Coturnix japonica: one gene and its partners. The protein of the gene in region 1 interacts with the protein of each later gene in a pairwise test. Links are inferred from orthologs where the notes say so. Each region holds a gene or a part of one and is shown on either strand. Other genes may lie near its edges.

Region 1 (5,612 bases):
AGACAGATGTCATTTCAATACAGACTGAAATTCTTGTATACACATCCTGTGTTCCCTGACAAGTTGGTTTGTCTTTAAAGACAAAACCAAAATGCAGTTCAATTCTGGAACAGGCTGCCCAGAGAGGTTGTGGATGCCCCGTCCCTGAAGGTGTTCAAGGCCAGGTTGGATGGGGACCTGGGCAGCCTGTTCTGGTATTTGATATGGAGGTTAGAAGCCCTGCCTTCAGATGGGGGTTTGAAGCTTGATGATCCTTGAAGTCCCTTCCATGCCAAGGCATTCAGTTATTCTGTGACTCTATGATATTGTGATTACTCTTCCACTTGGCAAGAGTTATCCACATTGGCTGTAGGATCTTCTGAATTCGATCTGTGACCTACAATGGTTGACACAGGGAAATGTACACCTCTGTTCCTTGTACCACTACCATTTCTTGCTGGCTTTCCTGCAAATGATCGCTCTTAATGATGAGATGTCTGCTCCTCATTACACTGTCTGGCTGGATAATGAATTATCAACTACTTCATGGGTTATTCAGAACATGCTAGTCTGGAATCAAGTAATACCATGGAACTCCTTCCTTGCATTTTCTTCCTGCTATTTTTCTGCTGACTAATTACTTGCATTAGTGAGAGTTGAGCAAGTGCTCATTGGCTTCTTCAAAGTGAGATCTTGGGTGTCTGTCTGGAAAGAATGATCTACATTCAGCAAGACATGGAGTTACGGGTATGAAGGAAGTTTCTCTGTGTGAAAAAGAAGCCTTTCTCCTAGCTGACACCTGTCAAGCTGTAACTTTAGCACACTTGTCTAAAACACTGGTAATTTCAGTAGTCTGAAGGGCAGGATTACATCAGTGAGGTGGCTGTGTTCCAGTATAATTCGCAGCTTTGGGGTGACCCTGCAACTGTGCTGAACAGGAACCTTTTTATTTCTTTTTATTTCATTTGTTTATCATCTTGGTACGCACAGACCATACCTCGTAGCTTAAAATCTAGCAGCCCTTCCCATTACTCTTTGGTGGTTTGTGACAGAATCCCACTGATGTTAAGGAAAGCATTGTCCTGGTCAGTGCTCCAGGACCCAGCAAAACATGAGGAGAAAAGAGTTTAGCGCATGATAACATGGCATATGTTTGAACTTTTAGCAAAAAAAAAGGATCAGGTTGGGACCACCCTTATAATTTTCTTGTCTTTCTAATGAAGAAAAAATAACAACACAGGTTAACTGCTATTACAATTGTAGAATACTTCAAACTTAATCTTTAAAAACACATCAGTGCAGTGTATTTCTAAGTAGTCTTTTAAATAAAATCCAGAGTACAAAGGAGAGAAGAACTAAATATCAGACTTTGTTTCACCTTTATTTTAATCAAGACCTTTCTTTTTAAAACTGAAAGAACAACAACTTGATGAAACTAAGGGTACTGAGCTGGTCAAACAGAAAAGGAGGAAAGCAAGTTATTTCTCTTCAGCAGCACAGTAGGAAATGTGCAAATGTTAAGTTTTAATTCATGTGTTTGCATCTCTACATACTCATGGTGGAAAATTAGATTAGAGCCCAAGAATATGTTCTTTCTCAAAATGGAATAAGATGTGGTTTACCAAGGGAACAACAAGAAAAAGCATCCCAAAACACAAGGCACCATTTCTACAACAACAGAAATCTTATTCTGAATGCTCTGAAATCCACATATAAATTTTCTTCCTTGCTTTGTTCCAGAGATTGAAGGCAGCACTGACTCACCACCCTGCCGCCATGTCGAATGGGAATATGAACACCATGGGCCACATGATGGAAATGATGAGCTCGCGGCAGGACCAGACGCCACACCATCATATGCACTCACATCCTCATCAACACCAGACACTGCCACCTCACCACTCCTACCCCCACCAGCACCAGCACCCAGCGCACCATCCTCATCCTCAGCCTCATCACCAGCAGAATCACCCCCACCACCACTCCCACTCGCACCTTCACGCACACCCGGCACATCACCAGACCTCGCCGCACCCCCCGCTGCATTCAGGCGGACAAGCACAGGTAGACCTCTGCAAATTGCCACATTATTCTTTAATGAATGAAGTATATTATGATTCTGTGTAATTGTATACATTGTACAATGTACTTGAACCTAAACTTCTCAGGCCAAGATTTAAGAATTGTATGTGTTCTGTCTACAGAAACAGATAGCACAATCTTTAGTGAAGTAGCCACACATATGCGTAATCAAAATAAGGAATTTATGTATGTGTGTGCGTGTGATTGATACATGAAGGAACAACCTCACTGAACTCAATGGCATATTTATTTCCTGTCTAGATTGTGGATAGTAGAGATAGATAGTTTTAAGGTACGCTTAGGGGAAGAGAAAAAGGATTCCAGACCTCAGGGAGTAGGATTGCAACTCCTAGCTGAGGTGTATGATTAGGTAACAGTATAGAAAGAGACAAAGCTAGTTCAGGGATTTAAACTAGGAAAGGAATTCTGAACTGGATTCAGATGATGTTAAATCAATGCAGATCTTCACTGAATGAGATGTAGGTCTCCACTTTTGGACCAGGTATATTTTCTTCCTCAGTTTGGATAATTCAATATCTGAAAGGTTTCTTGAACTTATGAACTGAGCAAGGACTTTGGCAGGTAATTTTAAGAGGAATCCTGCTGATGCTTTAGATGATAGGCTTCTGTATCAAGGAGATTGCACAAGAACAATAAAACTCTGGGTCCAGTGAATGTAGCGTGTCAGGTCTAGGGAGCAAATGTAAGGTGTGCAGGTGGGTAGTATATACAATCAGGACACTGATCCAGCCATAAGAATTTCAATCTGTGAAGTATTGCATTGCTTGCAAATGCCTTTCAGACAAGCTCTTAGAAAACATTAAAGAAAATGAGAAGATTTGGCTGACATCCCAGTGTCCCACAACATTAACTATTTACTAACATCTAGCTTTATTATTGCAGAGACTGCAAGCACATGGCATTTCCCCAAAGCATTTGCTAATGTAAAATGAATTGTCGGCATTAGAGAAACAGTCTAAATAAGAGATCAGCAGACTCCCCTGTGAGAAGATGTCCAGAGCTTTCCTTAGTTTAGTTCAGTTTTTACTTTGTGAATTCAATTATTTTCCCATCTGTTAATGAGTTATTTTCCTTAGAGTTGTTTAAAAACTCCAATAAAGAGATGTTATCTCATACCGTAGAAACCAGAAGAGGATGGCTCTCTAGGAGATCCATGAGAGAGTAAACACTCCATGCATCAAATAAGGCAACAGGTGAAATCTCACGCCCTTAAGGATAAGGCAGCCAGCCAATGAGCCAATGTCTTAGCTGCCTTTCCTTCTTAACTTTCTGTGCTGCTGAAGCCATTTTTGATTCTTTCTGTTTGGAACAGTCTAGATTCCTTGTGCTTTGCATTCACTGCTAGCTGGGTACTCCAAAAGTCTTGCAGTCAAGCACTGGGGCAGGCAGGCCAACTGGCAGCAACAAAGCTGTGTCAGATGTGTCCCGGTTCCTCTGAGACTCTGGAGCGAGCTCTTTGTGGTAACGTGAGCTTTACAGGGAACACAGTGTCACTGAAGGCAATGGTCCCCAGTAGGGACCAAGTAGGTCTTCACCTTGACCTGAGGTGTAAGTGTCACCAAAAGGTTGTGGATGGAAGCAATAGCTGATGGATCTGAGTAAGACTCCTGGGATCATCTGCTTCCCCAGGCTGCAGAGCTTTTTCTGCTTGCCTGTTCTCATAGTGCAAAGACAAGAGTGATTTCTGAATAGACACATGAAGAGAAAACAAGAGTTTGCTGAGTAATAAACATAATTATTACTTTCTAAGCTCATCTGTAGTCTCCATGGTATTGACTGGCCACTGTGGAGATCAAATTGCTCCAGCAGATGTTGATTTTATGGTGAATTTTACTAGTTCTTAACTTCCTTATTCTTCTGAGACGGACTCTTTAGTTCTAAGCCACCTGCCAAGCAGCATCAGGGTCCATGTTGCTGTGGGCCATGTGTTCCGATGACATAAATTTCGTTGTTTAACCCCACACCATTCTGTAATGTCAGCATTCATATCATGCTTTTCACCTACCACTTTGATGCACAGGAGCCCAGTGAGCTGTGTCTTCCCAGGATGAATGGATGGGTATTAATTTTGTAGTATGGTGCAAAGAGTGGAGATGAGCATTAGATCAAGGCTAAGAATAGAAATAATCTTCTAATATATATATTTCTGAGAAAGACCTATTTTACCAAGCTGTAACTGTATTGCTTCAGCTAGTGCAAAAATTGATACTATTACTGCCACTTTGGCCACATTAACACTTCTTCATATCAAACTTAACAAGAGAGATAGCTTAGGTAGAGCAGAGTTTGGGATGTTTCAGTTTATTGCCTTTCCTACATTTGTCTTGATTATGGACATATGATAGGCATTTTATTAAAAATAATTAACATTAATATATGTTCCTTTCCTTTCTTACTAAAATGTGTTTGTCCATAGGCAATGGAGACCTCCTGTTAGAGAATGATGCTTAGACAGTTACTAAGATATATTCTAACAGAATGTAGGGCTAAAGTGTTTAGCACGCTCAGCCTTGGAGGACAGAGGGCAGCTGGTATCCCTCAGTGGACATCTCCTATGGCAGAGATGGAGGCTGCAACATAAGAACAACGCCCCGTGTCTGCAGTGGATTAGAAGCTTTAATTGCAAATGGAAGGACTTCATACAAGCTAAAATGTTAAGAATCAGGCAGAAAGTGCAAGGTGGCTTATTTAGTTTTAAAAGTTTGTCAGTTTGGTTTTATTTTTTTCTGCTCCTACAGAATGGAAATTACCTGACTGTGCAACAGAAAGCTGAGAGTAAATTTGGCTTTATGTGAAAGGCATTATCAGATGCACAGTATAATTATACATAAAATTGCCACTCTAACTGACACAAGTCAGCTGGGAAAAGGAGCAAGTTCTGCTTCAAAGTTTGTGGTGAGATTCTAGACAGAAAAGCAACCTTGCAAGCTGATAGTATCATTTTAATTGAGACAGACAGGTGTGTTAACCAAACAAATGTTAATTGCTGCAGTTGAAATTCAGGACTCCATCTGACAAAGCACTGAGTACGTCCATTCCCTAAAGTCAAAAGGAAGCACCTTGGAGGTTTGGGCCTTTGCCAGAATAGTAAGATAAATTTTGAGTCAACAATTCATGTTTCTGGACTGTTCCAGACTCCACTGTTGTAGGAGTTGCAGGAAGAGCAGAAGTGTCTCCAGCTGTGCTCCAGCAACCAGATCCAAACATCAAGAAAAACCCAAAGCACAAGGGTGTGGGCACCATGGTATGGCAGGAAAGCAGTCAGAGAGCTTGTTATTCCCAGGTAGCACAGCACCTATTGCTTTTAGAAGTGCTGAACATGGAGTCTGATACTCATTTCTCACCAGTAAATAGGCGAATATTTCATCCAGGAAAGTCAGAGCACAGTCTGGTGGGGTCTGGCTCCGTCACAAGCTTCCTCTGTAAGGGCATAGGCAAATTACTTTATGGAGCAAGGCTGATACTCTCCTTCACTTGAAAAGGTATAAATATGTGGCTTTCCATATTTTCATAGCAGAGGGGTTGTGAGC
Region 2 (6,107 bases), on another chromosome or scaffold:
GTGTAAAATGCAGGCAAGGATACAGGCAGGGGTGTTAGATGCAGGCAGGGATGCAGGATGCAGGCAGGATGCAGCTGGGGATGCAGGATGCAGGCAGGGGTGCAAGCAGGATGCAGGTGGGGATGCAAGCGGGGCTGTGGGATGCAGGCAGGATGCAGGTGGGATGCAGGATGCAGGCAGGAATGCAGGACACAGGGAGGATGCAGGCAGGAATATAGGATGCAGGCACGATACAGGCAGGCATGTGGGATGGAGGCAGGATGCAAGATGCAGGCAGGACGCAGGATGGAAGGAGGATGAAGGCAGGATGCGGGCAGCACAGAGCCAGTGCCTTCAGTGAGTGCAGCAGCTGCTGGGCCGAGGAGGAGTTGAGGGAAAGGAAGAGGCAACAAGAGTGTTTTGTCTGGATCAGCTGATGGGCAGGGGGAAGGTGCGTGGGTAAACAGTGGTGCCAATAACTCCAGCATGGAGCTGCCTGACAGGGACAGCCCTTGTCCAGAGCAGCCACCTCCTGGTCATCCCCTCAGACCACAGACGGAACAGCTCTGCTCCCCGCAGTTCCATACATAGCAGCGAGGGGAAGGAGACGGAAAAAGCGCGGGTTGTGGTGGAAAGATGGAATAACATCCTGGGCGAGATCATCCTCGGAACTCTCAGTGCTGCCTGGAAGCAGCAGCGCTCAGCATGTTTTGCTGCGCTCGGTGCTGTCCGTGCGGTACGGAATTGCTTTCACGGAACTTCGGCCGCCTTTGCACGTGTGTCAGGTGCCGCAGGTCACCCCCTGCTCCCCAGAACAACGGGAGCCGGGCGGGGGGTCACTACGGGACGCGTTTACAACGGGCCGTCTGAGGAACAGCGCACAGCCACAGCCCGCACCGCCGTACCGGGGTGACGGGGGAGCTCACACGTTCCCTCCGTCTGTCTCACAGGGGGCCCCGCGGCCGGGTTTGGGGCAGGGACGGGTTGTGCGGGGGACAAGCCCTCGCTTGTTCCGTCGGGTGCAGGGAGAGCCCGTTGCACAACGGAATTCATCTTGTACGTTCGTAGGGGACGGCGCACGGCGTTGGAACCCGCGTGTTGCCGAGCGCCCGGTGCCGGTGGTCCCGCTATGTTGGAGGGCGCGCTGCCCCTTTAAATGGCGTCGGTGCGGAGCAGGGAATCCCTCTCTGGGCGCGTCATCCGCGGCAAGGAAACCCGCGCTGGCGTAGTGCGACGCAAATGCCCATTTTTGGCAACGTGCGACAGTGGACGGCACCAAGAGGCCACGGCCGGGCGGGGGGGCGAGACATCGACGGGGACCTACCGGCAGCCGGCGGGACGGAGCCGGGGGCGAGCGAGGGAACGACGCGGGACGCTCGGGCCGCCGGGGGCCGCTCGGAGCGGAGCGGAGCCGGGGCGGAGCGCGGGGAGTCACCGCCCGCCGGCCCGTCCCCACCCGCGGGGACAGGTGGGCGGCTCCGGGCCGGGGCGGGGGGGGCGGAGCGGCAGCGCCGCGGGTTTGACGTGTGCGGGTGCACATGGTGCGGCGGCGGCGGCGGCGCGGGGCCGGATAAACGGCGCGTGGGGCCGGGCGCTGCCAGTGCCCTGAGTCACGGCGGGCACCGCGCTGCTGCTGCTGCGGCTCTGAGTCACCGCGCGCGGGAGCGCCGCTTTTAGCGAGGGGCGTTCGGGGGCGGGAGCCGCTCCGCCCGCAGCCCCAGGGCCGGGGCCGCGCCGCCGGAGGGGCGAGTTCGGGCGGCGCGGACAGAGAGGACGGGACGGGACGCAGCGCACGGGGCTGCGACTGCCTGAACCCCGCTCGGCGCCCGCTCAGCGCTCCGCCGCCCGCCGTAGTTTTTGGTCGGCTTTCCGCTTTTTCTCTTTTTCTTTTTTTTTTCCTTTTATTCCCCCCTTCTTCTTCTCCCGCCGCCGACTCTCTCCCGCTGCGGGAGGCGCGAGGCAGAGCCCGAGAGGTCGGCACGGAGCGAGGGGCGGGGAGACGGCGAGGGAGCGGCGGCCGCGGCGCGGGAAGGCGGGGACGCGGCTCCCCCGGGCCGGGCTCGGACCATGTACCAGGACTATCCCGGGAGCTTCGACACCTCCTCCAGAGGCAGCAGCGGCTCCCCGGGACACCCCGAGCCCTACTCGGCCGGCGCGGCGCAGCAGGTAGGGCCGCATCCGCCGCTTCTCGTTCGGGCGGGGTGGGCGCCGTGGACTCGACTCGGCGGGTGGAGCGCGGCCGGAGCCGAGCGATCGCATCCCGGCGGTTGGGACCCACGGGGGTGCGGGGGACCGCGCCCGGAGCTCCCGGCGGGGCGGCGCCCCTGGGCAGCGCGGCGGTTCCCCGTCCTTTCCCCTTCCCTGTGCCGGGAGGTTCTCCGAGCGGTCCCGCGGCGCTCCGGGCCGTCTCCCCTACGGAGCACACGAGCGGACCGACTCTTATCCCCGCGGCTCCCGGCCGTTCTCTTTCCCTGCTCCGCCGCCCCGGCGTCACGCTCCGGCTCCGGGCGGTGCGGGGCTGCGCGCTTCCTTCGGGGCCGCTCCGCTCGGCTGCGGGGCTCGGGCGGCGAGTGGGACGGCGGGGACGGGAGCGGCTTCCTCGAAGCCGGGCCCAAAGGGCGCGACGTTCCTTTGCCCGTCTATCCATTTTTTTTCGAGAAAACGTTCAAAAATGGGTTCTTCGCCCATATAGCCCCAATCCACCACTTGGGTGGAAGGCGTTACACAACCGGGGCAGTTATACAAACCGAAGTTATTTCATAACTTGTTTACATCGACCCGCCTCTCCCCACTCTTTGGCTTTTTCGGAGTCGCGCTCCCCCTTTTCTCCCGGTATTATTCTTTCTCGGGTGGGTCTGTGCGATCGGGCTGGCGGCGGGTGCGCCTTGTTGCCTCCCATCGAGAAGCCGTAAGATCGTCAGGAAGGGGGGAAGAAGAGGGGGAAGGTAAAAAAGAAAGACCCAAAAAGAAAAAAGTCCGGTCTCAAACTTTGCCAACCGTACCAGCCCGTGACATTCCTCCCATTAAAGAAGTTTTACCAGAAATGACGCTGCGGTTCCCAGCCGCCTCCGATCGCATCTCTCGGGTGCCCTCTGCGGGCCGTGCCGAGCTCGCACATCTATCTCCGTGTCCGGCAGCGGGATCCGGCGCTCCGCATGACAGCGGCCCCTGCGCTCCGTCCTCCGGCACGTGCCCCGGAGCTCAGGCCGGCCGAGGGGTTCATAACTGTTCCTCTCCTCGTCCCTCGTGTGCTCTGGCAGTGCCCGAACTCTGGTGCGTCCCACGGCACGGCCCGGTCCCGGAGGTGATGGACCCGGAGGTGATGGACGCGGGCTCAGCTCGGGACTTGGCAGGAGCATTCGGGATTCGGAGATATCTCGAGGCGTCTTTCCCTCGGTCCCTGCAGATGTTGTAGATTAGGATCACATGCGAGTGCTGCCTTCCCCCAGGAATGGGGCCGTTCTGCTGATTCCGGGCTGGGCAGATCTGCGGGGCTTTATCGCCACAGAAAATATGCATTGCAGAAATTTTTTCTTCGGCTTTTTTTCTTTTTTTCCTCTTCCCAAAGCAAGGGAAGACGCACCAGTCACATGCTTGAGTGGAAACTGTGTCTGTGAGCCAAAACTTTGATGCTTTTTAATTATTTTTCCCATACAGCACAGCACTGGAACATTTTTCCTTTCAAGTTGCGTGCCGTGCTCTATTCCCCATCGCTGCCTTGCCATGTGGTACGCACAGCCCCTCACGGGAATAATTTGTGTGCTCTCAGACTGGGCAACTCTCCCCTGATATCCCAGCGCTGTGTCCAGTCCTTCAAGGAGGCGTTCAGTGTGGGACAACTGGTGGGGCCTTTTATTTGTTAGAGGCTTTGGCCCTATGCTCTGTACTGGATAACTGAGTGTTAGTTAAGACTCTCTAGGTGGATTTTTGGGGAGGTATTTTGGTGTGTGTTTTCCTTCCTCTGTTTCCGAGCTGGGCAAGCCCTGCAGCGTGTCACTCCCAGCAGGGCCAGGGCCTCCTCGGGGCCGGCTCTGGTGAGGCAGAGCCAGGGCTGGGCTCAGCTCTTTGCACTCCTAACAACAGGCCTCCTCCTCGCTCCTTGTTCTGCTTGTGTAATGATACCTGTGTCCGCGTGTTGCTTGGGTCGGGTGGAGAGCAGCAGCAGAGTGCGTGCTGTGCGTGCGGCCCCACAGTTTGGCTGTGGCCCAACCTGTCCCTGTAGATAAGGAGAGCTGAGAGCTGGTGGAGGGGTGCCCCTGGGAGCAGGAGCAGCGTATGAGGAGGTGGGGCAGGCACACGGGGCATGGCTGTGGTGAGGTGTCCTGGTGGGAAGGCTTGGCCATGTGGGAAGCACAGCATAGGGAAAATCCAGCAGCAACCCTGGTGTCCTTATCTGCAGGCTCAGCAATGTGCCCCCCTGCTTAGGTATCTGGGGAAAATACCACTTCTGGAGAGTACAGGATGCGGGTTTGAGGGAATTCTTAAGATACTTGGAGGGATGAAAAAGGAAACCGGTGGCAGCAATGGGGCATGGCACAGACAGGCTGCAGCCAGCATGGCCTCGTACCCTGGCCTGAAAGTGAGCAGAGAAATGTGGTTGAGCTGAGCACCTCTCTTTGCTGTCCAGGAAGCCTGTGCTGGGGGTGCAGAAACCCTCTGGGTGAAATAAAGGGGTGTTTGCCAGTGGCTTCTACAGCGTTCAGATGGTGACAGCCACTTGACTAGTAACTTGGGGCTGACTTGTGTCAGATGTTCGTATCTTACATGGCTGATCTGGTGATGGGTCTGACTCTCCTGGGCTCTGATGGGAGTTTGTAGCAGGTCAGTGGGTGGAGGCTACAGTGGTGTTACACCACCACAAAGGTCCTTATCTCTGGAACACAAATGCTGTCTTTGCATAGCAAAGCACCAAAAAATCTCAATACATTGTGCAGTCATAGCTTCTAGCATCCGTATAAAGAAGGCAGGATGTTTCTTTCTCTCTGTTGGGGTGCAGGAAAGGCTGGTGGTGGCACAAGTAGGCAAAGGTCACAGTGGAAGGCACTCGTGGAACTGGCAGCAGAACTTGCACCTCTTGATTTCCGCGCCTGTGGTTTGTCTTGCACTTTGTCCCTGCTGTGAAGTTCAGATCTTTTCATAACGATGTGATGGTTGTGGAGTCACTGAGCCATCCTCTTGCGGGCCGTGTGGTCACAGCCTACACTGGGCAGAGTATAAAGAAGGGGATTTTCACCAGTAAATTCCTTTGAGGTGTGTACAGTGCTCAGCTCTGGGCCTCCATTGCCAGTGCTCATGAGGGTAGCATTTACTGATGTGTGTGGTGCACTGAGGTTGCATTGGGCTCCAGCTGCAGGTGAGCTTCAGAGGTTCTGGTGAGGCTTCTGCCAAGTCTCAGTGCCATCCTGTTAGCATTGTTTCCCCACTCCCTTCAGTAGATGCGCTCCTGCCTTCTCTTGTCCTTTCTTGTTAGATTTAGGGCTATCCAAAGCTGTAAACTGGCATTTATCTGCGTTCAAACTGGATCTTCTGGTCTGCAGGCTTTGGCAGCTGGGTGTCTTCTGGATAAAACTAGCCCAAAGTGCTGTTGCTATCAGAATGTGGAACACTATTTGCAGTAGCCTTGCTTTAACAAAGCATTTGGGCACGGTGCTTGACTAGGCACACCCTGAAAAGGAAACCTGTGAAGTGCTGTCCCTTATCTAGGACACTTACCTGGGCTGAGGTCAAGCTGATGCAAGGGCTCTCGTGTCCCTACGAGGCTGCTGTGCTGACCTTAGAGCGGGTGTTTTCCGCACGACCATTTAAATGCTGCAGGCTGCGGGTCCTACGAGCTCCGACCCTCCGCAGTGGGTGCGGAGGCAGCTGGAGCAAGGCGTGCCTGTTTGTAAGGCCCGGTCTCACCATTGAAAGTCTCCTGATGGGAGCTCTTCATAGACAAAAGCATTCCTCCTCCCCTGCTTCCCCCTCCGGGGACAAGCAATTGTTTTCCTGGCAGTTTAGTGCCAGCGTATTATACAGATGGATTTACCTCTGTCTGAAACTAGGTGTACGCGTATTTTGGAGATCATTACCTACTGCCTTGGTTTTTACTGCTGCCTTGTTTTGTCTAGACAGTGCAGAGAGCTGCA
Region 3 (6,373 bases), on another chromosome or scaffold:
AGGGACTGAGCTCCTGGACGATACCTCTGTGGTATGGTCCATGTACTGCGTTACTAGCAGTCATTAAATTCATCACTGCAACTGTAAGCAACACAGCAAACACAAATTGATAGGTACTGTATATGTAACCAACAGGCTCATAAACACACTTGGCTGTTCCCACAGCATTGCTGAGTCCAGCTGAGAGAAGTGAGAATGCTTTTGAGCACAATCTTCAAGAGCAATGCTTACTTAGGGAATTAATATACCTAGAAGCTTTTCAAAATGCCACTTAATGTCATAAGTGAAATGAGATTGCACTGGGAAGTCCACTGCCTGTGATAAGGCATTAGAAGTCACTTGCACAGAGGGCTTGTTTCACCAGTAGGCATTCCAAGGAGAGAGCCTCCATTACTACTTTCAGCACTCCATATCATAGCAAGACTTTAGTCAGACTACATTCTGTTCTAACTTCTTCTTTCACTGTTTCCCCACCCAGCTTCATACAAATTCTTACAAAGGTTATGTACAGACTTGTACAAAATTGAGACTGACACTGGCTGCTGGAGAGTTTCCCGGAGCAAGTTAAACAGAGATTATATAACATGTTAAATCTGTGTTGTTGTTGTTGTTGTTGTTTTAATACAGTTATTATAGTACTAGTTTCTTCTTCCTAGCTTAACCTTTCAACCACCCTTTCAAATAGTTGTGTTTTGTAGAGATTAAAAACCTGAGGTTATTATACACATCTTGTTTGCAGCTATTACGTAACACAGGGCAAATGAATTAAAAGTGGGGGGTCTTAGCAAGTTGCAACAACCATTATTTTCTTTCCATATATGCTACTGTGAAAGTCATGGGGAGTGGGAGGAAATCTTTCTTGTAGTTGATATAAAAGCAGAAGCACAAAGCTAGTACAGAACCTGACTTCTACTCTCTATTTTCTAATCAGAGATGTCAAAAGCTGCATCCATCTATCCATCCAGAGACCACTTGCTCCAGTGCATGCCAGATGAGAAGTCACAAGCTCCACAGGTTCTTAGCTCACTTCCAAACAGAATTCAAAACTTCTGCTTCATCTCAGCTGTTGTGTCTCCCGTGGTCCCCAAGATAACGTCATAGGATAAATTCAGCTTAAAATTACAGCGCACTAGTAACAGTAGAAGGTACTGGCTATTCCCAAAACGTCAAGCTAAAGAGTCCAATCCTGACAGAAACCATTTCAAGGTGTAGAGCGCATCTTTGTGCAAAGCCATCTCCAAGACACCAATCAAATAAACAGTTCCGAAAGCATACACAGAGCAAAGTAGGCCTCACTTCGTTCTGAAGGAATCCCCAGGAAAAACCCGGTTGCTTTTCTTGGATGTTCTTGAGAGTCACACACTTTCAGACAGCATGCAGTAACACGGAACTTTCTTTTTGAAATTAATCTATGGAGGTTTTTTCTTACAGCACTGGGGCTTTTCTTTTTTTTAGGACTAGGGTAAAACATGTCAGCTCTAAGGATGGGGGAAAAAAAAAGCCTAAGATTTACAAACACCCCTCTTCTCCAGCTGATGCTCACTTACAAGGTTGATTTTGTCATCACACCGTGCCAGCATCTTCCAGAATTCAGAATACATCATCTCGTGTTAACTTAAGATAGTCACTATGGATATGCCAGGGTGGATGCTTAAGTACAAACTGCCTACAACTTGTTTGGTCAGTGTGGCAGAGCTTGCCAGCAGGAATGGCCACAGGAACGGCCCAGGGCATTGCCTCAGTTTCTCCTGAAGCCATTAGCTCTGCTTCAGCCCCTATCAGTGCTGTTCTGGGACCTTACTCCTACTGTCTCACAGTTGAAAGTCAGCTGCATTCCCTTGTTTCACAGGGCCCAAGGTTCTAACCTCACATCTGCTTAGCATGTTATTTTCCACAAAGCAACCATCTCCTATCACATGATCTCAGGGGACAACCACGTAAACTTCCATGAAAAACAGCAGGGAGGTACAAAACGGCCCGCTGGAGGTACTGGATCCTTTTGATGGCTACAAATACTCGTAGGAAAATAAAACTTCTTTGAGCTTAATGATGTACTGTGGGCTTTTCTTCTCCATCTCATTGTTTTTTCATGTAGAGTTTAGAAATAAACAATGAGCACACTTAGAAGGAGGAAGTTTTCCACACATGCTTTCTATTAATTTTATTTCCTCCACAGATTTTCTCATAGTTTTACTCACCAACGTTTTCCTTCTGTTCTCATTGAGGAAAACAGGCAGAATTTCCCTCCTTTCCCCACTAGTTGCTACTAAATTTCTGGAAGATCCAGAAGACATTTCATTTTAACATTAAAAAAAAAAAAGAAAGAAAAAGGTTTTTGCAGCAGTGCTGACTGCTGCCAAATAATTATTTAATAATTATAATGAAATATTTCCAAGAGGAAAAAAATCTGTAAAAATACCATGATTTCATTCCATTATAGCCACAACAGGTACAAGCAATGCAAGGAAGTAACCCATAGTGCTGTACAGGTTGGCTGAGAAGGGGTTTTATTCTATTCTTTATTTACTCCAATGAAAAGATGACACTGGAAGATGACATCTGGGGACTGGCTCTCACCTCAGGGATAGAATTCCATGAAGGCCACCTCTCTGCACTACCCAGAGACTGTGAGACCAATGCAGAAGCCAGTGGGTTTGGCCTAGGACAGCTTAATCATGGAATGGCCTGGGTTGAAAAGGACCACAATCATCACCGAGTTTCAACCCCCTGCTATATATGCATGGCAGCCAACCACCAGACCAGGCTGCCCAGAGCCACATCCAGCCTGGCCTTGAATGCCTCCAGGGATGGGGCATCCACAACCTCCTTGGGCAACATGTTCCAGGGCATCACCACCCTCTGCGTGAAAAACTTCCTCCTAATCTCTAACCTAAACCTCCCCTGTCTCAGTTTAAAACCATTCCCCCTTGTCCTATCACTGTCCATCCTCATAAACAGCTGTTCCCCCTCCTGTTTAAACACTCCCTTCAAGTACTGGGAGGCTGCAATGAGGTCTCCTCAGAGCCTTCTTTTCTCCAAGCTAAACAAGCCCAGTTCCCTCAACCTTTCCTCACAGGAGAGCTGCTCCAGCCCTCTGATCATTTTAGCAGCTCTCCTCTGGACCCACTCTAAGAGCTCCACATCCTTCCTGTACTGGGGGCCCCAGGTCTGGACACAGTTGTGGTAGAGCTGGGTAGAGGGGGACAATCACTTCCCTCTCCCTGCTGGCCACCCCTTTTTTAATGCAGCCCAGGATGTAGCTGGATTTCCAGGCTGCAAGCTCACACTGCTGGCTCATGTCCAACTTAATCTTGGATTTGATTTTACTTTGAAAGAAAGAAAAAATGAATCATAATCTCAACTTAAGTATTTGAGAGTCAGGCTCCAGAAGCACATTTGCTAATCCAGCGCTGATAAGGTTAATGAGATCAAAGCCAGACCCCACTGAGTGTTTAACAGAGATGCTTCCTAACATGGGTCAGGGTGACTACAGCTGTGTGTCACAAACACACCGAAATCAGCATCAAGATGACACAGATCAGCCCTTGCTCTGATTACACTCGCTACTCCCACTTTCTGCCTCCCACCGACTCTCTCAGCCCCTATCTTTCCAAACTAAAATCAGTGAGTGTTTGATTTCAGGGCAGAAATTCATACAGTCATCTTCAAACATTGTGTCCGTCTCCTCTCCTCCCCAGCCCCCACTGTTAGGCAGTGAGGGCTCCTTGGGCTCTGCTTCAGGCACTTACCTTCTTATCCAGCAGGCAAACCAAAGTCCAATCCCTTCAATTCTGTGATTCGGCGAAAAACTCAGACCCTCAGCAGTCAAGTATGCAGGGAGCAGCTCTCCCACCATCTTCTTTTAAGTCTCCCCAGCAAGCACGGAGGGGCCTAACAAAGCTCTATGCAGCCAATTGTGTTATCAAGGCACTTGGCACTACCAGCTGACCCTCGATTGCTATTCATCCCTCGGGAAAATAAAACACCCTTTTGTAGTGAAAGTGTAACCGGTTACTATGATGCGTTACATTAACAAAAGCAGCTTTTTACCAAAATTACGGATGATGAAAGCCTGGATGTGGGCTCAGACCAAGGGAACCAGTTGTTTCTACATGTTTCAGACAGCTTAACCAAGATTTCCACGACACTAAGAAGAAAGAGGTGGATGAGTTATGTTACATGTTTGTACAAAAAACAGCAGTGAGTTCTGTAAACCAAATTTCAAGGATTTTCTGTCACAGAGATTTTTTGTGTGGCAGCATCCTGTGCACACCACCGTAATCTCAGTATTCATGGGATCTCTGGTATTTTTGTGCTTTGCTTGAAATCAACACAGAATTTTTTAATATGATTTTCTATTTTTACTTTTTCTTTTCTAGGGGTCCTGCTTATTAAAGAGCATAACCATCTGAAAGATAGAATCTGTAGGGTAGAAGGGTAGAGCTTGCTGATTTGGTGGTGAGGAAGCATGCCAGCACATTCAAGGTTGTATTTGTGTTCTAATCTACTTAAGCACCCCTTGGCCTTCACACCTGCAGCCCTGTTTAGGGATCCCTCACTCTCAAGGCAACAGCTCTCCATTAAAGCTGCGGTGCCCAGGTTTGGGCTGTGGCAGTGCAGCCAGGGGGACATTCACCTGAAAGGAGCCCAATGACTTTGGTCGCCTCACCTTACTGCACCCAACACATCCAGCTCCCAGCTAACACAGCAATCCAAACGCCACGGAGATGCCTCATGCATAACAACGTGAGGCCAAATAGACACAATTCACATCCTCAGCTTTGGGAAAGCTCACTGACAGAGAAGCTGCTTTCCATGGCATTAAGCAGAGAAGGCTGGACGGGAGCAGCTACCCTGTGTGAAACCTGAAGCACTCTCCAGCAGTGTAGAGAAAAGACATGACCTCATTGTTCCACAACCCAGATAATCCATTCCTGGATAAAGCGAGAGACAATGAGTATTTCACCTTGAAGGTTATCAAAGAGTTTGCCACTCTCCATGGAGGCGTTTGCTTCCCCAGACAGGGATGTGAGAACTTCTCTGTGTTAGTGAAAGAGACGAAGCCATCAAGGGGTTGTGGCTGAGACCACACAGCCATGCCACACAGGCACAGGTACTGAGAATGGCAGCATGTCCTGGCCTATTCATGCACACAGGATGGAGGCATGTCTCTCTGAAAGTAATGCCACATATTTGCACAGAAACAACAACAGCTACAAAGAACATAACAACACTATTTGATAGAGCAAATTCTCAGCCACCCTTTTTCAACATAGTCATCACCACCAGTTATGCATTTTTGCCAGCGATGAACAACGGCCTGCATGCTGTGCTGAATCACTACCTGAGACTTCTCATCCCTCTCCAATGACTGCAAAGGGAAGTGAGAACCTCCTCCTTCCTCCAGCCTCATGGTGAGTGGAATCCAAGCCTTTCTGCTATGGGTTTCACACAGCCACATGCAGGCAATGCACTAGCTTCAAATTTTGCTGAAAAGACCCCAAATCTGTTTGAGCATTGGCTCAAGGGGAAGGAATGTCATCTGGTTGCCATTGCCTTCCCTCGCAGCACCTGCGCTCCTGCTGGAGTCCTGCCATGTGAGCACAGAGCAAGACTCTTCCCGCATCGCTGCACTCTTTGGCGGATGGGTTAACAGAGAAAACACGTCTCCTTCTGCTGTCAGAACACTGCAGGTGCTGGGTTTAAGTCTGCAGGCAAGAATGACACCATTTAAAGTACTTAGCAAAGAATACACAAAGCCCTGGAGAAAATGCATGGCCTGGTTTCCTACAGAAAAATTTAATAAATGAACAGGCAGAAGTTGCAGAAGGAGCAGACAAAATCCAACATTAGGGGCAGCTTTCTGCTGAAATATTTCTCTTCCACATGTCAACTCGCCATTCAAAAGTATGCCCAAATTCAATTACAATGCTGCATACGTCTTGAACCCACTCCTTAGGAAATGATCTTTATTGAGCTGTATTTATGAGATCACCTTCACCATTTTCTTTCATGTCAAGTATCAGCAAAAGCAAAAGATTTTGCTCATAGATAAAAACAATAGATAAAAATAATTATAATTCACTTCAAACAACCCAACAACATTAAGCACAAACACAGAAGAGACAACCAAAAGCCTTACAGCCAGTCTCCTTCACCCTTGCCTGTTGCAGTGAGGGCTAATTTTCCTATCCGTGGACTCACAAGCATCCATCTAACTCTGACTCAACCAGACAACACAAAGGAAAGCACCGTGCTTTACCTTTCAGCTTCCTCTACCCTTGCCATGCCCCATCAGCACGGGATTTGCACAGAGCATCATCCCCACGCGGCCTCACCCACAGCACTGATTGCCGATGCTGATCTACAGGAG
Region 4 (6,188 bases), on another chromosome or scaffold:
AGAGGACACCGGCATGCAGTCCCTGTGCTGGATCCATCCCACCCTGTGTAACCAGCGGCCTTCCTTGGGCTCTGCTCCACACAGACACGCTCTGCAGCCAGACTGGCATCACTGGGCGCTGAAGCTGCAGCAGAGCCCTGCAGCAGTGGGTGCGTATCCCAGTCCCGTGGCCCAGAGTTGTCAGGGATCAGAAAGTCCAGCTCCTTGCACAGCAGTCTGCATTGCCCTTAACATCTTGGAGTAGCCGTGGCAGGAGAAGGCGAATTCTCACCTTGTTACATGTGTGGGCTGTCTCTGCCCATCCCTGATGCAAACATCACACCTTGCCGGAGCTGTGCAGCAAGCCATTAACATCGTGCCAAGGTAAAAAAGCTGCCTGTCATGGCTGGTGCCGTGTGCTGCCACCGGGAAGAGAACCCCAATGCTGGCAGTGCACTGGGGTGCAGAGGCGATGCTGATGTCGCCGGAGCACTGTGAGCACCACAGACTGCTGAGGCAGCGTACGTTCTGGCCTGTGGATGGGAGGAGGCAGGCTGCTAAGGGCGTGCTGTTGTATGTTGAGCACCAGAACTCTCATCCAGCCCGGTGTGAGATTGTCCTGTTCAGGAGTTTGGTACAAAAATACTTGCTCTCGCTTTGCTTTTTTTTCTTTTTTTTTGCAGTCTGCTTTCCTAGGGGTTGTTTGAAAATACTTTTCAAACGCTACAGCAGTGCCTGTCAAACCATGCTTTCAGCAGTAACACGCTCTTTCTTACAAATATACAGTGTAGAAGAGGGAAATATTATACGGGGTATGCTTCTCGCTTTCTTCTAGAAGAACAGATGTGTGATAGAGGCTGTGGGAAAGTCTTGGAGGAATCCAGACTTGTGTGAGGTTTCTTCCTAGCCTACAACAAGAATGGCACGGGTTACAAACACAGCCGGGCTGGGGAGGCAATGCTGCCTGGGGGAGCAGCAGCCAGCCTGCCCCTGTACAGGCACATCTCGTGGGCATGGGGCAGGCGTGGCACTGGGACGTGGCTGTTCAGGAGGGCAGAGTTAGGTTGTGTTTTTAGTTTAAGAGGAGTGTGACCAGTGTTGCTATAGGGCAGGAAGCTGTATGGCAGAGAGGGGGTGGGGTGACAGGGCAGTTGGAACTCCCACCCCCGCTGTGGATGATTAAGCATGGGGGGACAGCCTGTGCCCGAGCACTGCGCTCCTTACCAGCACACTGTGGTTCTGCAGAGAGCGTGCGTGCCCAGCAGCCGCCGGGGGGCTCTGTTCATACCCACAAGACTGACCGTCGGCCGCCATCACACACCCGAGACCTGTGGGTGGCATGGCAGGGCTCAGGGATGGGGCTGGCACGTCCCCCTTCCTACCCAAGTTTTGGCTGGCACCGCAGGTGTGCTACACGGAGGACACCGGGGGGCACTTACACAGCATTCAGCAGAACTGACGGGACTTCCAGCCCTGAGACCCAGCCTCGGAGGGAGGGAGCCAGCGCATCTGCAAGACATGGGGGCAGGGGGTGAGCAGGAAGGAAAACTGCAGCAAAGGGTAGTGCAGCCATACCCTGGGGCTGCGGTGGCTGCAGTGCTGATTCCTCCAGGAGGAGCACAGGTGCTGCCTGTCAGCGCTGCCTTGACAGGGGAAGTATGAGGCTGCAATAATATTTACCATTGCTCTTCCTCTGGGCAGCTGGCCCCAGAGCTCCCCTCCTTTCCCTCCCTCTTGCTCTGCCTGTCAGAAAGGCTGCAGTGCTGTGAGCCAGTGCCATTACCTGGGCATGCAGCGAAGCAGGGTATGTGAACGCAGGAGGAGGTAGAGCAGGCGTCAGCTCCGCTGGGTACAGAGGGTACGGCCCCCACACTTCAGGGCTGCCGGGGTAAAGTGCAGGCACTGTGAGCTCATCTGCAGGAAAAGGAGGAAAATTAATCCTAAAAGCAAGGGGAAAGTGGACAGCAGGTATAAGCTTTGCACTTCTGCCCAGGCCACCGTCACCTGCCCTTGCGTCATCCCAAGCACAAGCAGCTGGTTTCCAAACCCAACCACAGTTGCCGTGCCTCTCCAAAAGCTTCCCTGCACCCAGCTCCTAAGGTATCACTGCCCCAACTGCTTCAGTAAGAAAGGGGCATTGCCAGGGCCATATACTGGGCGGACCAGGGTCAGGATGCAAGCACTCACAGGGCTCCCTGGCGATGAACTGAGGTACAGTGTTGGGGAGGGGCGTGCTGGGGTTGGGAGTGCCCATCAGCTTGCTCTTGGCCATCTTGGTGTTGGCTTTAGCAAACTCTAACCGCAAGGTCTGGGGGATCTCAGGGTCGAAGCGGATGCCCTGTGGAAAGGAACAGGGCAGCAGAGGTCAGTTAGGCTGAATCTTGTGGTAGGGTGCTGCCCCCCATTCAAGAAGGCCATTTGGGCTAAAACAGCCTCGGATTTTGTCCCAATATCCCCACGGGCTGCTGGGGTGGCCGTGACCTCATGTGCTTGGCAGCGAGCATGGCCCCGTGGCTCACATTCCTCTGACATCCTCGAGCTCAGCACCATATTTGGTAGTCGGTATCCCGTGCAGCCACGCTCCCAGCAAGGGATTAGCGGCGTTTTGCCTCAATGCAAGGATGGGGAGGAACCGGGCTTCCCCAGGAGGTCTCCACGGGGTAATAGATACTGGGATCCATCTCTTTTGGTGTTCCCTAGGGGGTCCCAGCACTCACGTTCAGTGCATTCTTGGCGGCCTCAGCTTCTGAGCGGCTGTCGAAGCTCACGAACCCCACGGGCTGCGGAGAGAGGAGGCGAAGGGCGGTCAGGGCCAAGACCCCACCACATCCCCAGCAGTTGGTGAGGGCAGCCCCCAGGCAGGTGGGGGCACGGTGCAGCCCATACCTGCTTGGAGGTGAGCTTGATAAGTGACCCCTCATAGCCCTGCGGGAGAGAAGAGAAGCACCATTGGTTTCATTTGGCCTCAGAGGCCCTCAGAGCCCCATAGCGGGTGCAGTACCTTGAAGGGCCTGAAGAGCAGGTAGAGCTCGCGGGGCTTGATGTCCAGGGGCAGGCCGCTGACAAACAGGGTCCTCACCTGCAGGGGCAGAGCGTCAGCTGGTTGTGGGCCTGCAGGAGGCTCCCCAGGGCCTCCAGGCCACGCTCCTGCACACAGCTCTGTGCTCACGGCCTCAAGGAAGTGCCCGCTGTGAGCTGTGTTCCTGAAAGCTAAACCCGCCCGAGCCTGACTTTCCGGGTAATTTAGCCCCATGGCTGCGCAGCAGATAAGAGAGATAAAGGCCCTGAAAAAAAACCCTCCGAAATTAGGCCTCACAGAGATGCGGCTTCTCCTCGGTAATGACTTGTTTTCTTTGAAAGTTCAAACGCAGGTCGGCCAAGTCGGGCCAGTGCTGCGGTGCTCAGTGAGCAGGGAGAGAAGCGCAGATTACAGCAGGAGCTTGAAGGGGGGTGGTGGGGGAAATCCCATTTAGGCTTTTCCCCCCTGCCCAAAACCAGAGACAAGCAGAGGCTGGGGAAGGAGCTGCGATGCGGTCTCCCCAGCAAGGAGCCGTGGGGAAAGGCTGCCCCTGCTCTGCCACGGAGCGGGGCAGCTCCCTGACAGAGGCTGTGGCTCTGGAGCCTTCCCCGGGCCCTGCAGATGCTGTCAGTGCAGGCCGGGGTGGGCAGTGGCAGAATCCCCTCTGTGGGGGCTGGGGACCCCTCCCGGAGGGATCCTTCCACGCCAGTGGGCTGACACCCCCCATGGCAGCCCCACCACCCTGCCGCGCTCAGCCTTTCTCCCCGGCTCGCCTTCACCCCTCACCATCCCTCGTCACAGCCCGGGACTGTCACCAGGCGAGGGTGGTGAATGTGCTCCGGAGCCACCCCGTGCCCACCCCACCGCACCCCTCTGTTTCTGCTGCTGCCCACGGACAGACCGGGGCGCAGCCTCGTGCCTGCTCCGTCCCCTTCGCGCTGTCCCCGCCCGGCAGGTTTTCTCCTCGCCCCGGGGACATTCGGGGAGACCTGGCGGGCCTCGCTCCGCCCGAGAGCGGCCCGGAGGCGGCTCGGCACAGCAGCGGCGGCCGCGGGCGGTGCGACGGGCACCGGGTCAGCGCCGTGGCCCCTCGGCTGCCCCAAGGACGCGGTCACGCTCCGCCGCCCCAGCGCCGAGCTCCGCCGGTCAGCTCGGGCAGGAAGGGACCGTCGGGAGGAGCGCGGTGACTCATTCCCCAGGCATCCGATCACCTTCCCCGGGCTCGCTTTAATGTTCCACCAGCGGTGAGCCGCTCGGCTGCCCCCGCCCCGACCCCCGCCCGCGGCGTGACCGCGACCCGTCCTCGTGCCCGCGCACTCGGGGTGAGGGCGCGGCGGCCGGGCAGCGGCGGCACCGACCTCGCGCTGTGCCGGGAGCGGTGCCGCCGAGAGCCGAGCGGGGCCGCCGTCCCGGCTCCCGTCCCCGGCCAGGCTCTGTGCGCGGCCGCCGTGCCGCCCGACGGGACCTTGTGCCGCCGCCTCCGCTCCGGGGGACGAGGCGCCGTGCCCGCACCCCGCGTGAGTCCAAGCGCCCCGCGTCCCACAGCCCTTGTGCCGAGGCGCACCCGGCTCCGGGCCGCTCCGCCTCCCCCCCCACCAACTTCCATAGCTTCCCGCCGCGCCCCGAGCCCCACGCCCAGGCTGACGGGACCCCGCGGACACGCGTGGGGGCCGCACCGCTCCCGCCCCGGGACCCGGCCCGCCCTCGGCGGCTCCCCCTCCCCCGCCCGGCCCGCTACCTCCTCTTCGGGCAGGCCCGGCTCGGCGGGGCCCTCCCGCTCGGCGGCGCCGCTGCTCATGGTGCCGCCGCCGCTCCGCCACCCGCCCGCGGCTGCCTCCGGCGCGGCCCTGCGGCGGGCGGGAGGGAGCGGGGCCGGGCGGGGCGGGGCCGGGCGGGCGGCCACACGGCGCTGGGGGAGGGACGTGGGGACACGGGGTGGGACGGGGCCGGGGACGGGAGCGGGGGTGGGACGCGGAGCTGGGGCGACGGGACGCGGGGTGGGGATGGAGGACAAAGGGCTGCGGTCTGGGACGTGAGGTTCGGTGCGTGGCACGTACGGCTGGGGACGAGGACGTTGGAGTTGGGACGTGGGACGCGAGGTTGGGTACGTAGCACGCGGGGCTGGGGACAGCGATGGGGACGCGGGCCGTAAGGCTGGGAGCACGGTGTGAGCACATGGCACACGGGATGCGGGACAGAACGTGGAACAAGAGGTGTGACACAGCTGGGAACACAGGGCCGGAAGGCGTGACAACGGCTGGTGTGGGGAAGCCAGTGGGACACAGGCGGCTCTCCTGGCAGCGTGGCTGGCCCTGCTTTGGGGAGGTGGCAGCCCTTGGGCAGTGCTCGCAGCCCCTGTTTGGACTCAGCCTTAGGGGTGTCTGCACATCCTGAGCAGCGCTGCACCCACATTGGGACGGCGAGGATCAGATGCCCACTAAAAGCTGCAACGTACCATCTCCCCCTCCACACAGACAGGGTGGGCCACGCAGGACCCCCGCACACAGGCAGGGCCCACCTGCCCACACCCCGCTGCAGTCCTGCTGTCTCTGAGCAGCCTCTCCTCCACACTCGGCACACGGCGAGGCCCGGCCTCCCTCTGCTGGCTGCTGCGGGATCCGTTGCCACACTACAGGGCTCAGGGTGGCTTCTGGCCCACAGCTGTGGTACAACAGCACCACGAGGTTAAAAGTGGTGCTCAGCGCTCCTGGCAGCACATTGCAGCTCCCCATCACCACCCAGCCCTGAGTTTGGAGGAAAGAATGGCAACCACACCCTGCAGCGAGAGCAGAACCACTTTATTCCCATAAAGCACGTGGAATGTTAGAGTTGGTGTGAGGGAGACGACAGGTCCAAAGCCTGTGGGGGCTATAAATAAAACAAAGCGAGAATGAAGGATGCAGAGCCCAGCTGCTTCCCGGGCTGTGCCCAAAGGACAAGAGGCCCCAGGCATGCAGCTGATGGCAGAAGGCTTTCAGCTCTTAACAGGTGTGGCCGCAGCCTTCATCGTCTTCTTCAGGTGATGGTAATTGGGCAGGATTTTCATCAGAAAGTCCAGCTGCAGCGTCTGGGGCTGCAAACAGAAGTGCTGTCAATGGGCAGCCACCAGGGGAACCTGGGGGCAGGGGGACAGCACCTACCTGCGGCCGCTCGGTCTGCACGCGGCGCAGGCAGTCAGCGCCATAGATGA
Region 5 (6,230 bases), on another chromosome or scaffold:
TTCAGGGAAGATACAAGAATATAGCAAGTACTGTATTTTAAAATATGTAGTTCAGCTTTGCTTTCAAATCAGCAGCACCTGAGGCTGTTTAGTCCATCGCAACCTAGAAATGGTTAAGCACACAGCTATAAATTAAGGAAGCACCAGGTATATATAATCTCCAAAGTCAAATAACCTAGGAAAATGACCACAAGAATGCCTGTGCTGGTGGAGCAAAACATACAACAGCCTAAATCTGTAAAAGAGTCCTCAAAATATAAATCCAGAGCAGAGCCATTCCCCCAAAGAGAAAGGGGCCACCTGCAACACAGAGGAAAGTAAACAAGCAGGGAAGCAGCGATCCTGCTTCTCAATAGAGCAACTCAGACTCCATCTTAATCCTGTCATCATTCATCCCCGCTCAACAGGCACTACATAACGCAGCACTTCTTCTGTTGGGTAACAACACTGAAACTCAGAAGCATTTCCAGACAGCACTAAAAATCTGCCATCAGATTGGGAATTCTGTACAGTGCTTGCTGACCTGCATGCTCTGACATTATTATGTTAAGTTGCATGAACAGCAGATTGACCCACGAGGCCACACGTCCCACTAATTCCTTCATTTGAAAACTAAGAGCATTTGTGAGCGCTTCATTGTGTTCTCACTGACCACACAACAGCACCGAGAGGAAAAAAGTAATGCAGAAATGGATCTGAAAAGGTACAGAAATACTCTCGTTTATCTAACGTCTAACTGACAAATGCAGTGAAATCTTTACAAGAGCGGTCAAAAATCAGCACAGAAAAATCCAGCTGTGGCAGTCAGGATTTTAGAAGGCTGCCTGACACGTGCTCATGACTGACAGGAAACCTAATAGTCCTTAATGCAGCTTTTTAATTAATCTTCTGCACCACACGTTACAGTTGAAAAGAATTTAATATTATTGACTCCAGGCACCACAAACCTTTATGTCTTACTCCATAAAATGAAGCTTTGTAATCACAGCATAATGCTCAATTACTGGGATATTGCTGGTAGCCACGATGTCACCAAAAACACTGCCAAGTACCCGTATTTGCTCTTACATGCAGTGAGATTTGTTAATGAATTCAAGGCCATTGATGATATCAATTATTATGAAATTAAGCACAGATCTTCTAATATATGATGTATTTCAGCATGTAGATCTGCCCTATTTTCACAAATAATTTCAAATTTCAATCCTATTTCCCAGTCATTCATAGCAGCAATCCAGTGCTGTGTGCACAATCAGCAGAGAGGAATGACTCCGGCCCTGCCAGAGCTGCTGTCAGAACTGCAAATGAAACTGAGGGAAATAGATATATATGTACATATTTCAACCCTCCTCCCCCCACACCCCGAGTTAGAATGCTTGTGACATTCTAGGAAGTAAAAATATCTTCTGTGTGAGAAAAAGCACTGCTGCTGATAATGCATCGTTAGGTTATATACATTGAGCTACAAGCAACGCTGAATGAACTCAGACTAAACGTTGCATGACAGCTTGTTCCTCCTATTTCAAATAACACTCGGTAAAGCCTTCAGGTATTCTCCCACTTCCACCAGAGACAGAGCCTCCTCCACCCCACAAGTGGATAATTAAGCATCACCTCCGTGTAATTTGTTGAGGTAATGAAATGGTGTATTCACGAGCAACGAGCAGCTCCATTTTAGCACTGGCAACTGCAGAGCAGTCGCACCGAACGGTCACGGTGGCTGCTTCAGTAGTCCTGCATTGCTGCATTTCAGTCCTTTTTTGTTTTCCTCCTTTCGTAAGGAAGAATTAAAAACATTTAAAACCAAAGTTAGGATTTTGACCTTTCAACAGCTGACGCCACATTAGAACGTTTCTGTCATTCTGGTAGCCCGGAGGTGAGGTGCAGGCTGCCTCCCGCACTGCCATACACCCCCCCGATCCGCAGTGCCTGTACGGCCCGCCTGCCCGGGGCTCCCAGCGCCGCTGCGACGGCCGCTCGCCTTCCCCTGCCCACGGCACAGCGCACATACGAACGTCGGTCATTAATAAGGACCGAGAAGCGTTTAAGGCACCGTATGGAAAACACGTTCGCGTGAGTGGATTCGATCTTCTTTATTTTATTTTTGAGCCGACGCTTTCGGCAGGGGGAAACACGCTGACGTTTTCTGAATAAACCCTTCCGTGCGGCGATGTGCGCCTGTGCCGCGAGAGGCATTTTCTGAACCAACGCCGCTTCACATGAACGAGCCGAGCACGAACCGAGCGTGGCCCGAGCCCGGCCCGGCGGCGCCCCCCCCCCAGTACCCTGGGCCGGGTGGCCGCCCGGCTCCGCACGGACCCCCGCGCCTTCGCCGTGCCCGTCCCGCGGGCCGCCCGGCAGCTCTCAGCGTGCAGGCACCGCAAACTGAATGGACGGCCAGGTACTTTATGAATGGAGCGATCACGTGCTCCCAGCACCTCCCCGGCTGATATTTCCCACATAACCGTGTCAACAAGCGCTGCACCGCACGGCGATGCGCGGCTCCCGAGCGGCCCCGGCCGCAGCCCGCCCGCCGGCCTTCCGCACCGCGCCCCATCGTCCCGAGGGGCGGGCGGCAGCGAGAGCGGCGTGCCCGGCCGGCAGGTCGGATGGCGTTGTGTTTTTTTTATGAATGGAGATTGTGGTATGCAAATGAGAGCGATTCACAAAAAAAGAAAACATGGCGGCGGCTCCGGCTCCGGACCCGGCCCCGCTGACACCGCAGCGGCGCGGCCCGCCCCGGCCTCGCTCCCGGCCCGGCCCCCGCGGCTCGGCGGGGCGCTACGGGCCCGGGCCGCGCGGCTCCGCGCCGGGCAGCGCCGTGGGGCGGCTCCTGCGCTCTTCCGCCCGGGTGGCGGAGGCGCCCCGCAGCTCCCCAGCGACCCGCAGCTGCCCAGCGGTGCCCGCACGGCCCAGCCGGGGGTGGCAGCGGCAGGGCGCGGGGCCGCCGGCCCGAAGCTCCGCGGCCACCCGAACTTTATTGCGATAAAAGTAGTTTCAGAACGCCCCACGATCGCGTTTCGCCGTCCCGAGGCACTCCCGGGTTCTCTGCCCTCCGTTCATCTCCTCTTCCTGCCCCAGAGATTTATTTCTCTATTTTTTTCTTAGTATTTTTAAGACGTTACGTACGCTGGGCTGCAGCCGCACGACCGCGCATTCTGCTCTAGGTCCCGACACGTTAAAAACACTGAGATCCCTGAGCTGCCTCCTCTCTTAAAAAAAAAAAAAAGTCCCAAGTCCTCATTAGAAAAAAAAAAAAGAAAAAAAAAAAAAAGAAAGAAAAAAAAGCAGGGCTCCGGGGCAGGTTTAAGCCGTATTTACACGGACTGACTCATCCAATTAACATTCAGGAGCAGTTTCCTGCAGGATGGAGCTCCCACACGCCCGTTTCCATGCGGAACACACCGCCGAGCACCGCGCTCCGCAGCCCGGCCCGGCCCCGCCGCCAAGGGGCGACACCGCCACGGCCCCGCGCACCGACCCGCGCCCCCGTCCGCGCACACGCGGGGCTTACTCGGTGTTAGCAGCCGCCGTCTCCTCGCTCATTTTCCCCTCACCGTGATCCGAGGCGGAGCAGCAGCAGCGGGGCGGCCGGGGCGCAGCCAGAACTCACCAGAAACTTCACCATTGTTCCCCCCCTCCCGCCCCCAGCCGCAGCCGGGCCGGAGCGCTCCGGGTCCCGCAGAAGCACGAAGCCGCCGTATCCGCGCGGATGGCGTGACGGCGTTACGGCGATGCGGCGCTGGCGCGGCTCCGCTCTCTCTCTCTCTGTCTCCCGCAGTTACTGGGGAGCGGCGCGGCGGCGCCCAGGCACAGCTCCCCGCCGCCAGGCGCAGCGCCGCGCCGTCCTCCCGCTGCCGCTCATCGCTCGCCGCGCTGCCGCCCTCCTCCTCCTCCTCCTCCTCCTCCCGCCCTCTCTTCTCCGCCGGATTCCTGCAGACGGCCGCGGCCCGGAGACGGGGGGAGGGGAAGGGGGGCTGGTGCCGAGGAGGAGGCTGGCGGCAGGGGGGAGGGCGGCGTTTTAAGGCGGCCCGGGGGTGGCGGTGGGGGGGGGGAGGGCCGGCAGCGAGGGGCTGCGTCACGGCGGTGCGGTGCGATGCGGGAAGAGCGTGCGGCAGGGAGAGCCCCCGGCCCGTGCAGGGCTGCGGGAAGTTGGGCGCCGCGCTCCTCGCTCCGCCGCCCCCTCACAGGAAAACTGGGCGGAAGCGTCGGCTTCGGGCTCCTTCCGCCGCCACCGCGCGATCCAAAATAACCGCAGGGGAGCGGGGCGGAGGGAAGCGGGCGGCCCCCCCGCGCACTCCTCCCTTCCACCCCCCCCGCTGCCCGGCCGGGCCCGCCGCTCTCCCCGAGCTCCGCGGCCGCTCGGCGCTCCCAAAGTAGTTCCCGCGGCGCTGCCTCACGCCATTCCCGGGAGCCGCCGCCGCGGAGGGATACGCGCCGCGCCGTGCGGTCCCGGGCCGGCGGGGCTGATGGGCGACACGAGAGGGGCCCCCGCCGGGATCCCCCGCGCCGGGCCCGCGGGATGGAGGAGCGAAGCGGGGCAGGTAAGAGCGGGGAAGCGGCGCGGTGGGGGCTGACAGTACAGTGCGCATCCGCTACTTCTCAGGCACTTCTCCCAACTCCAGCCCCGTTCCGTTTTTCCTGGAACCGCTCATTCCCTCCCCGTTGCCGCACGGCAGCGATGAGCTGTCCCCTTCCTGTGCGGAAACGCTGCGGTTCCCACGCGGTCGTCCGCGGGCTGCTGCCCTCGGGGGGCGGGGATGCGGGGGGAGCGCCTGGGGCACCGCCGGCAGCGGGGTGGGGAGCGCAGCCCTGCCGGGGCTGTTGGAGTGATGTCCAGAGGCTTTTTCTGGACGGCTTTTCCTTTCTTTTTTCTTTTTTTTTTCGTGTTTGAAAACTATGAGAAAAAGTTGATGTGAAGACAAAGTTCCTGTCAGGTTATTTTGGGGGACTTCTTTTTATAGAGGAGGTTCACAGAGTCGTTAAAGCATTTTAAATAGAACTCGTTTTATATATATATATATGCCTATATAATCTTCTCTTCCAGGCAAAAGAAGGCAGTTTACGTTCACTGTAACATTCCTGTTCCAAACTCCAAACGGGCTCTGCCATCAGCGTGATGGAGCAATCACAGCAAGCTGCTGTCACGCCGCTCTGCTCAGTGGCCCACGTGGCACGTGTTTGCACGCATCCCAAACGTGCCCTGTGATGCTCTCTTCCTTATCAGGGCAGCTTTTGGAGGAAAATTTCTAATTGTTTAGTAAAAACATTTTTTTTCCTAAAATGGTATAGTAAAAAATGGATCGGTTATTCATGGCACAATCTCATCTAAATACTAAAAATATACCAGAAACCCAGTTTTGCACAATATTATAATTCACAACGATTCAAATGTATGATTTGAATATAGGGACCTCTTGCCTGCCCCCGTAAAAACATGGTTTGAAACTCAGCTGTGGGGACATCGCATTACTCTACCTAGCAGCAAGAATTCTTTTAGAGTACTTTCTGCCTTGTGATGGGCACATAGTGTCCTGTACAGGAGTGCTCAGGAACAACTCCGTTTGTCATACAGCTCTATTCAGACACCTCTGAAGAAAGAGACAGGATCACGGCAAAAAGATAGAGAAATCTGCTGTATTTTAAAAATTCCTTAAATGTATTTATTGTAATATCACTTCTCACCACGACAATTCAATAAAACAAAGTTGTTTGTAATCTAGCACAAATAGTTAAAGCTTATAAGAATGCCTACATTGAGAATAGAGTGTGTATTCATTTATGAACTGAAAATGGGATAAAAGTCATGTGACTTTTATGTATCTGCATGGAGGAGGTAAGTGGAGAAGAGCTCATTGCTTCTTTACATCTTGTAGCTCTTCAGCTTCTGCTCACAATCTCATGGCTCCATACACATAGCAGAGGTCTTACAAAGAGTTTCTGTCTCTATCTGAATGTCACAAAGAAGACAGAAAACCTGTTGGCTTGTCTTGAATCAGAAATCCTCCTTGTCTCTGCTGAAATTGGGAAGATCAAAGAACACCGATATGGAGTGGCCTTTTGCTGGGCAGCAGTTGGTTTCAGAGCCTTCCAGTTTTGTGTTTTGGAGCAGAAAATCAGGCATTTCATTGTCAGTGGCTCATTTGAAAAGTATGTTTGAGCCCCGCCCATGCAAACAGGGCAGAAGCAGACCAGGCACAGGTGACACCATCCAGAAACCTCAGACTGCC

Evidence for each region.
Region 2: the proteins of CREB5 (region 1) and FOSL2 interact in binary tests that used the Homo sapiens proteins (3 or more experiments, as listed by UniProt). The two-hybrid records come from large-scale screens. The link is inferred for Coturnix japonica from reciprocal best matches to the Homo sapiens genes CREB5 and FOSL2.
Region 3: the proteins of CREB5 (region 1) and SPRY1 interact in binary tests that used the Homo sapiens proteins (3 or more experiments, as listed by UniProt). The two-hybrid records come from large-scale screens. The link is inferred for Coturnix japonica from reciprocal best matches to the Homo sapiens genes CREB5 and SPRY1.
Region 4: the proteins of CREB5 (region 1) and RBPMS interact in binary tests that used the Homo sapiens proteins (3 or more experiments, as listed by UniProt). The two-hybrid records come from large-scale screens. The link is inferred for Coturnix japonica from reciprocal best matches to the Homo sapiens genes CREB5 and RBPMS.
Region 5: the proteins of CREB5 (region 1) and SPRED1 interact in binary tests that used the Homo sapiens proteins (3 or more experiments, as listed by UniProt). The link is inferred for Coturnix japonica from reciprocal best matches to the Homo sapiens genes CREB5 and SPRED1.

What each region holds. Positions count from the first base shown.
Region 1 is NC_029517.1:30,650,164-30,655,775, forward strand, and holds part of CREB5 (cyclic AMP-responsive element-binding protein 5), read left to right. Parts: intron 1-1,719; coding exon 1,720-2,043; intron 2,044-5,612. UniProt on the Homo sapiens protein: Binds to the cAMP response element and activates transcription.
Region 2 is NC_029518.1:24,466,327-24,472,433, reverse strand, and holds the start of FOSL2 (fos-related antigen 2), read left to right. Parts: upstream 1-2,462; 5' UTR 2,463-3,022; coding exon 3,023-3,298; intron 3,299-6,107.
Region 3 is NC_029519.1:47,744,942-47,751,314, forward strand, and holds the start of SPRY1 (protein sprouty homolog 1), read right to left. Parts: upstream 3,867-6,373; 5' UTR 3,750-3,866; intron 1-3,749. UniProt on the Homo sapiens protein: Inhibits fibroblast growth factor (FGF)-induced retinal lens fiber differentiation, probably by inhibiting FGF-mediated phosphorylation of ERK1/2. Inhibits TGFB-induced epithelial-to-mesenchymal transition in lens epithelial cells.
Region 4 is NC_029519.1:30,662,385-30,668,572, forward strand, and holds the start of RBPMS (RNA-binding protein with multiple splicing), read right to left. Parts: upstream 3,860-6,188; 5' UTR 3,233-3,859; coding exon 2,981-3,232; intron 2,905-2,980; coding exon 2,866-2,904; intron 2,760-2,865; coding exon 2,697-2,759; intron 2,318-2,696; coding exon 2,167-2,317; intron 1,894-2,166; coding exon 1,763-1,893; intron 1,489-1,762; coding exon 1,426-1,488; 3' UTR 1,419-1,425; intron 1,308-1,418; exon of another isoform or gene 1,204-1,307; intron 888-1,203; 3' UTR 1-887. Other genes in the region: DCTN6 (dynactin subunit 6), read right to left, coding at 5,973-6,071, 6,139-6,188.
Region 5 is NC_029520.1:25,855,414-25,861,643, reverse strand, and holds the start of SPRED1 (sprouty-related, EVH1 domain-containing protein 1), read right to left. Parts: upstream 3,830-6,230; 5' UTR 3,547-3,829; coding exon 3,515-3,546; intron 1-3,514. UniProt on the Homo sapiens protein: Tyrosine kinase substrate that inhibits growth-factor-mediated activation of MAP kinase. Negatively regulates hematopoiesis of bone marrow.